Linked DNA regions of Caenorhabditis elegans. The protein of the gene in region 1 purifies or fractionates together with the protein of each later gene. This does not show direct contact. Each region holds a gene or a part of one and is shown on either strand. Other genes may lie near its edges. The genes, in order: dnc-4 and dnc-3.

What was found.
Region 2: the proteins of dnc-4 (region 1) and dnc-3 purify together in Caenorhabditis elegans (affinity purification with mass spectrometry; 2 studies listed by BioGRID, with this or other methods). This does not show direct contact.

Annotation. Positions count from the first base shown.
Region 1 is NC_003282.8:8,017,363-8,021,372, reverse strand, and holds dnc-4 (Dynactin subunit 4), read left to right. Parts: upstream 1-1,564; 5' UTR 1,565-1,584; coding exon 1,585-1,688; intron 1,689-1,753; coding exon 1,754-1,881; intron 1,882-1,926; coding exon 1,927-2,044; intron 2,045-2,090; coding exon 2,091-2,523; intron 2,524-2,567; coding exon 2,568-2,809; intron 2,810-2,853; coding exon 2,854-3,070; 3' UTR 3,071-3,198; downstream 3,199-4,010. Other genes in the region: C26B2.2 (Membrane-associated kinase regulator), read left to right, coding at 1-168; elpc-4 (Elongator complex protein 4), read right to left, coding at 3,240-3,697, 3,748-4,010.
Region 2 is NC_003280.10:3,551,562-3,555,194, reverse strand, and holds dnc-3 (DyNactin Complex component), read right to left. Parts: upstream 1,416-3,633; 5' UTR 1,360-1,415; coding exon 1,288-1,359; intron 1,238-1,287; coding exon 1,115-1,237; intron 1,070-1,114; coding exon 959-1,069; intron 907-958; coding exon 806-906; intron 757-805; coding exon 648-756; 3' UTR 578-647; downstream 1-577. Other genes in the region: W10G11.19 (DUF4105 domain-containing protein), read right to left, coding at 1,800-2,015, 2,059-2,425, 3,007-3,222, 3,285-3,425, 3,472-3,559.

The DNA.
Region 1 (4,010 bases):
ATATATTCTTCGTCCTCTTCTCACGCTTCTGATGCTTCATCCATCAGTTCCCATACGTCCGTTTCGTCTACTTTTACCGAAAAGCAGCACGAATTTGGAAAACTCGTTCCATCTGGGACTGACGGCAGCCTTGAGTTGTTCGTTAAAGTGGCCGATTGTTTTGATTAAAGAAGGCGAATCTCTTGAACTTGAATAAACTTGCAATCTAGTAAATGTTAATTTTTTTGATTTTTGGGAAGAATACACTAAAACGTCGTTTAAGAATATGTTCACTGAGAACCAATTACATTCTTTTGTGCTGAATATAATAGAAAAATGCCTCTCTGACTAGGTCTTAGGATAAACTTGGAAGTATAACAGAAGTTATACTTTATTTTTTTGTGAAAAGATTAAGTAATCAGCTACCAGAATCAAATAAAATTTTGCCGAAGACCTCTGGAAATCTGTAAATTCCGCTCTGAAAATGTTTCTGAAATTCACGGTGTTCAGTGGAAAACTCACTTTTCACGTGAAGGCTAAGCACACAAAAAATTTACAATGTTGTATCGGAGTTTTGACATGAGTATCAAAGGTTCGACAATTTCAGCTTCTCAAATCTCGATCTTATTTTCAGTATACCTTCAAGATTTTGCAGATTAGGAAGGTCTTTTCGCCAAAGTAGTACAACTACTTGTATCACGCCTACCACGATAGCGTGGTTTGGTACGGTTTCACTGCCAGCCCTTTACTCTACCCAACTATCCAAGAAAAACGAGTGAGAATTTCACTGCCAACATATTTGACGAACTAAATATCTCATAGCGAAAACTACGAAACTTTTTTAAATGACTACTGTAGCGCTGGTGTCGATTTACGGTCCCGATTTTCGAAACGAATTACCGTTCGAAAACACTTGTGGCAGAGATTTTATTTTTTTGTTTTATTCGTACTGTTTTGTCATTTTTCTGTTTTCCATTTATATTTTATCGATTAAAAATTATTTCCGTAAATCGACACCAGTACAGTAGTTACTTATGAAAAGAGTTACTGTAGTTTTCGTTACGAGATATTTTGTTTATTTCGCGTCAAATATATATTTTTATAAATATGTTGCGCAATATGCATTCTTAGAATATCGTGTTCCTGTAATAACATACACTTGCGTCGACGACCTGCCAGCCCAATTTTAATTAGTATGTAAAATGCAATCTTCTCCCAAATGAAATCCCTATCCGGATTATAAAATATTAGTTAATTTGTTTTCTAAAATATTTGTAATTGATGTCAAGTCAAAGGTGTTCCATCCTCAATAACCTTCGTATTTATTTATATGCATTTTCAACATTAATTGAGTTTTCCGTATTCCAGTTGTGCGGGTACTAATTTCTCGTGCGAGAGACCATGTTAAAAGGAGAGAGTGCGATACTGTGGCCGAGAAATCTCAGCGCGGCCGAGGGACGAGATCGTGTTGTGAAATAGTTTTTTTTACAAAAATAATTATTTAAGTTTAACATTAATTTTTGTGATTAAAATAACATTAAACTGCTACTTTTTCAAATTTTCGAATTAAAAATTTAACATTTAGGAGCGGTTGCGGTTCTCAATATGAGCGAGTTGCTGCAGTACAGTCGAATCAAATACGAGTGCACCTGTGGAAAATTTCGAACCCTTCCGGACCTTGTTTTCTGCCGATATTGCTTCAAAATTAAGTAAGTTTTTTTAATGGGTAATTGTCTAAAAATAATTGAAAAAAAAAATTAACCAACTTTTCCAGGTGTGATGACTGTAGCTTGGGAGAAGTTGACAATATTTTCTGTCCTCGATGCCTTGAACCATCAAGCGTCCCTGAAGCAAGACTTAAAAAGCATAAATGCGCAAGTTGCAATGATTGTCCTAAGTGTGGTATGATTTATCCACTATTTTGTAAATATATTTGAATATTTTCAGCTAACGTTCTGAGTGCTCGTACAGAAAATGATAATGTATATTTGGTTTGTCAGTACTGTCGTTGGTCTTCAAGAGAAGCGAATCAAGAAGATCAAGAGAATACTAAATCCTGGCCAACGTATGACTAACTGTAAATATGATCTTATGACATTTTATTTATACAGAAAAGAAAATCCATTGGTTAATCAACTTGGTGAGGTGACGGCATACATGAAGAGACTTGAATTGATTGAAAATGCTCCAAAAGATTTGAAAAAGGGAAAATCGGGCAAAGCCTGGACTGCTTTTCACTTGAAAGACAAGTTTGGATTTCAACAAATGGTAGATAAGCGGAAAAAAGCACTGGCTCCTGAAATGAATCCAGTTGATGCACATGCTCCAACAGAAGCGCCGACTCTTGAAGATGAGATTAAAGAAAGAACGGATGATCTGAGAACTCTCGATCAAATCATAATGCAACCATTGATCAATATCTCTGAGCCACTCCTTCCTGTACAAGTTCCTCTGGCTGGAAGAGTTCAAGTTCGATGTGATGAGTGCGAAAGAACTCTTATCAAACGAGACTTCGGAGTTACTACCTTTAAATTTAAAATTTCGGTGAGTAGCTCATTCAACAATAATGTAAAAAGTTTAAATTTCAGTCATTTGCCCGTCAATTTGTTCCTGACATCAGAATGTCTCGACCGGTTGATGATCTTAAAGTTGGGGAGACATCACACGTATTTCTCTCTATTACCAACTTATCATCATCTGCAATGGATTTGACTATCGCACCTCAATCTGGAAATGGTTTCATTCAATGTTCCAGTGATCCAATCCAGCTTCTTCTTCCATCATCGCGAGCATCGGATACTGCTGCTCCTGGAGTTCATGCTGACCAAAGGTTAGTTTTTTCTTGTTTTTAATTGACTAAAAATGGTATTCCAGTGACGTCATCGTGTTCCGACAGCACAACCGAGTTGGCCTTCGACTGGATGTTATTCCCACCGAGATGGATCTCTCTTCTCCATGTCTCAATCTTTTGATTACATATTGTCAGGATGGATCGTTCCGTCTCTCCTCCGCTAGTGACAAAATATTGAAACCAGAAGAAACGTGTCCTGATCCAATTCTCTCTGCTAATTTAAAAGTAGATCTCAGATAATCATTTCATGTATATTTGTTTCTATCCTTTCTCTACCACAGCGTGTCTTTTCTTAAACATAATTTATAAGCTTTGTTAAATATTTAGAAGACGTTTTTATGCTTTAAATTAAATACTTTAAAATTCAACATTCAAACATCCCAACAACAAATAAACATGATCGAGAAAATCAAAAATCAATATTCTGGCAAGATGGAGTATTTTGATGACCTGGAGCTGGCTCATCAAATGCAGGTGGAAGATGCATCACTCGAATTTGGAAACCTTTTCTGGAACTTGCTTCAAAAATAAGATCGAGAATCGGTGGAGTGTGTGTTCCAACGGACATCAATCGGGGCAAACTCTTCAAATGGAAGTATCCATGAGCAGTGCCAAGATGTTTGAACATTTTCTTCTCATTTTCATCAAACGGCATCAGTTGAATATGTGTATCAGCTGCGGATTCCAGTATACGCCAAGTTGGTTTCGGAACTCTGAAGGAGTTAGCCGTGATGTATACAATCATGTAACTCGAACGAGCTAAAGATCGGAGACAGCACAGGAATCGGCCAAGGAACTTGTAATCTTCACAAATTTCCATATCGATATTCTTCAGAACCACTCGAAGAAGATTCTTTTTCGGTCCACCTGAAGTAAAATTCATTAGTTTATGTATAATAATTCAATAAAAATCTCACCTCTTCCGCCGGATTTTGTGTGAGCTTCATTTTCTTTTACAATTTGGCAGAGCGTCTCGTAAATCCCTTTTAGCGTAAAAACTTTCTCCGCATACACGTCAACATTCGGATTCTCTACATGCTTCGTAAAGTCATACTGATTTTCGTTGCTTAATGGTCCAAGGGAAGAGGAAACTTGTTTTACATTTCCATACCGCCACGCAATTTTCATCGAGTTTTCATTTTCTGCCGGCAGAGAATTTGGAATTTCTTGATTTTGCATA
Region 2 (3,633 bases), on another chromosome or scaffold:
GATCTACAAAAAATGCGAGAGAAGAGACGCAGGTTTCTCAACTGATTTCGCATGGTTAAGAACGTGCTGATTCCCGAATTTTTTGTAGATCAAACTGTAATGGGACAGCCTGGCACTATATGAAATTTATTGGGATGCAAGTACGCTCCACTGATAATTGATTTCAAAAAAATTTTAAAAATACTGATGCAAGCGCGCTCTACTGGTAATTAGCTGTAATTTTGGATTACAACTGCGCTACATAGAGATTTTGGGAAAATTTTGAAAATTACCTTGCTGCAAGCGCGCTCCATCGAGAATTACTAAAAATTTTGGAAAAAAGTGAGGTGTAAGTGCGCTCCACTGAGAAATATTCAAATTTTCGTAAAATCTAATAATGCAAGCGCGCTCCACGGAGAAAAGTTCAAATTTTTTGAAAAATCTAGTAATTCAAATGGAGAGAAAACTATTTTTCTTGCGAGGAAAAAAATTGGAAAAAAACAAATTTTCCAATTTCCCGAAACAACGTCATCATCTTGCCCACTTCGAAAAGTCGATAATTGCTGCCAATTCGTCTTTCTGTCTAACAAAAAACTTGTAGAATTTCAATTTTTACAGGAAAACAAAGAAAATAAAAATAAATTACAATCCAGCGAAAAAATATTTAATTATTTAGCTTTTGCGTTGATTTTCGTCTGCAGATCCAGCACTTTTTCGGTGATTTTTTGGTTGATCATTGACCGCTCGGCGACAAGTGTCTGGAATTCTCCGTAGGTTCTGAAATTTTGGAAATTTCAGATTTTTAGGCTTTAAAAACTGCAATTACTTGGTCCAGTCCTCCAGGGCCTTCTCGTATTTTTCGATTTCAGCGTCAAGCTCCGGTTGAAGTGCAGCCACTTTTGAGAAGAGCTCCTGGTCGAGGCAGGGCTGAAATTTTTTATTTTTCTTCAATTTTCTCTGAAAAATCGCAAAAAAAGACCTCAAGAGCATCTGAAAATTGTTTAATCCGTTCCGCTCGTTCATTGATCAGCTTTTCCGCGTATTTTACAGACTCTATTTTGTCAGTCAGCGATCCATATGGGCCGGATGTCTGAAAAATCGATTTTTCACAGAAAATTCAGTTTTTCCAACGTACTTCCGTGGCGATTTTGCTCAAATGCTCCAGCTTTTGAATGGGAATCGACATTAGCAGATTCGCCTTACAATCATCTCGTAATTTGGATTGAAGAGCCTCGATTTGAGAGGGAATTGATGTTTTCTGGAAAAAAAATTGGCATTTTTATTGGAAATTGCGCGAAAAAAGCTTACCGTGGTGAGATCATCGATTCCTAGAACTTCTTCAATTTCAGAAATCTTTTTTTCAAGCTCGATCATGTCCATTTTCAGATTTAAAATCAAAAGATCGAAAAAGAAAAATAATAATTGAGAAATTGTGTGCAATGGGACGTGACGGTGTCAATGCGTACTTTGCATTTTATTTGACGCGCAAGTGATTTTCAGTGTGGAAACTAGGATATCGCCTGCAATTCTACATTAAAATTGTCTGTTTTTTATTAAATCTTAGTATGAAAGCTTAAAACTGAAAATTTTCATCGAAATTTCTTGTTATTTCCTTAAAACAGCTAAAAAAAGGATTCTTTTGTCCGCAATCTACCGTGGCGGTGTACCTGCGGAACTGGCATTTAAAATGACGAGCAGGGAAAATTAATTAATTCTTAAATATAAATTTTTAATGCAATTTTAATCTGTAAAACATCAAATTAAAACAAATTAAATTATTTATTTTTACCAAATTACAACAGAGCAATTTTTTAAAATTCCTATAGCTCGTCCCTAGTCCACTCCACGGCCGTGAACCCTTTCTCTAGCTCTTCCACGTCATCATACCGCTCCAACAGATTCAAACGAGCAATTGGGAACTTGAAGTTTTCAATGAGCTCCTGGCAGTGAACTGGCTCCAAATTCCGAACCCATGAAAGAATTCCAGTGAAATTGTCGTTTTCAGCGGGTTTTGTGTGGATGCACCATCCTTTTTCCTGGAAAAAATGAATTTAATTTGAAGTTAAAAAGTGAAAGTACCTGTCGCCGAATGACAATATAGCTCGGGGAATTCACATTAAAAACGCTCATCACATACAGTCCAAACAGGTCGAAACCGGTTACAGCCGAAAAATGAGCAATTCGATCGCCGCTTTGCTGCTCGGCAGCAGATTTTTTGAATCCTTCAGAATTTTTAGAGTCCAGTGGGTCGAAAAATACGACCAGAGGCTTCTGGGTTCCGGTGGCGAAGAGGAAATCGGAGGGACTTGACAATTGATGACAGCCCGGGTGTACACCGTCCTCCAAGTAGTCGACCATTCGATTCCAGTTGAGATCCTTATGAAGTGTGAAGGCTTTTACGAAGGGGTCATAGGGCTTCATCGTGATGAAGGCAGGGTAGATGGACCTGAAAGATCGGGAAATTTGAAATTTGGAAAATTCGAAAATTTCCAGGAAAAAAAAACCAATTTTTCTCGTTAAAATTCAATTTCTTCTGAAAAAAAATACATTTTTAGCCAAAATCCCAGTTTTGGGTCTTGGCACGAACGAATTTGGCTATCGTGTGGGGGTACTGTAGTTGGAAAGTTACGTTCGCGGCAGGACCCAAAAAGTTGCGATTACGACTAAAAACTCGGACTGGCATAATATTTTTTCGATCAAATCCATGCTTTGGGTCTTGGCACGAACAAAACTTCTCAGCTACCACGTGGTGTCAGAGTGTCTCCTTTTTGATCTACGTAGATCTACAAAAAATGCGGGAGAAGAGACGCAGAGTTCTCAATTGATTTCCCATGGTTAAGAACGTGCTGACGTCACTCTTTGCTAGGGGAAAAATTCCTGGATTTTTGTAGATCAAACCGCAATGAGACAGCCTGGCACCACGTGAGCTACCATGTGGGGTACTGTAGTTGGAAATTTTCGTTCGCGGTAGGACCCGGAAAGTTACGGAAAATCAAATTTTGAACAACATTCTCCACCAATTCTTACCATTTCTTGACCTCCTCGGACACCAGCGCTGTCAAATGGAACCGCCCGTGATTTTCCCGCGCAAATTTCGCGTAATTCCTCCAAATCTGCGACTTTTTCGTGTCAATAAACAGAATTGTTACGGTTTCCCGCGCGCGATCAAATCCTGGGACCATTCCACTACGGTAGCTCGGCACCAGCTCCTCGTTGAGCAGTTTTACCTCGGGTTGCTTGGTTCTGGAAGAGAAATTTCATTTGGTGGCCGAGTTTTATCCCCCACGGCCACGTCAAAATCTTACGTCAAAATCCAGTCATAAACCTGATCCTTCTGGAATTTTCCACGGAATCTTGCCTCGAGATGATCGTCAAAATTATCTAGTTTGAACGAAAAAAGCGTCGGATTCTCATCGACTCCGTGAGCCCAACAACCAGAGTTTTCACTGGAATTTTCAGATTTTTCAGCAAATTTTCCAGAGGAAAGCTTACTTTTTACAGTCCACCACATAACCAATCTGTTTGCTACGCTTCAGAGCATCTAGGAAGTGAGAAATAGCCTCCCAGTGTTCGAAGGAATCTGGAATAAGGGGGGAAATGACGGCGTGGCCTAGAAATAAATGAGAACTCGGCCACCATCACAAAAAGCTATGT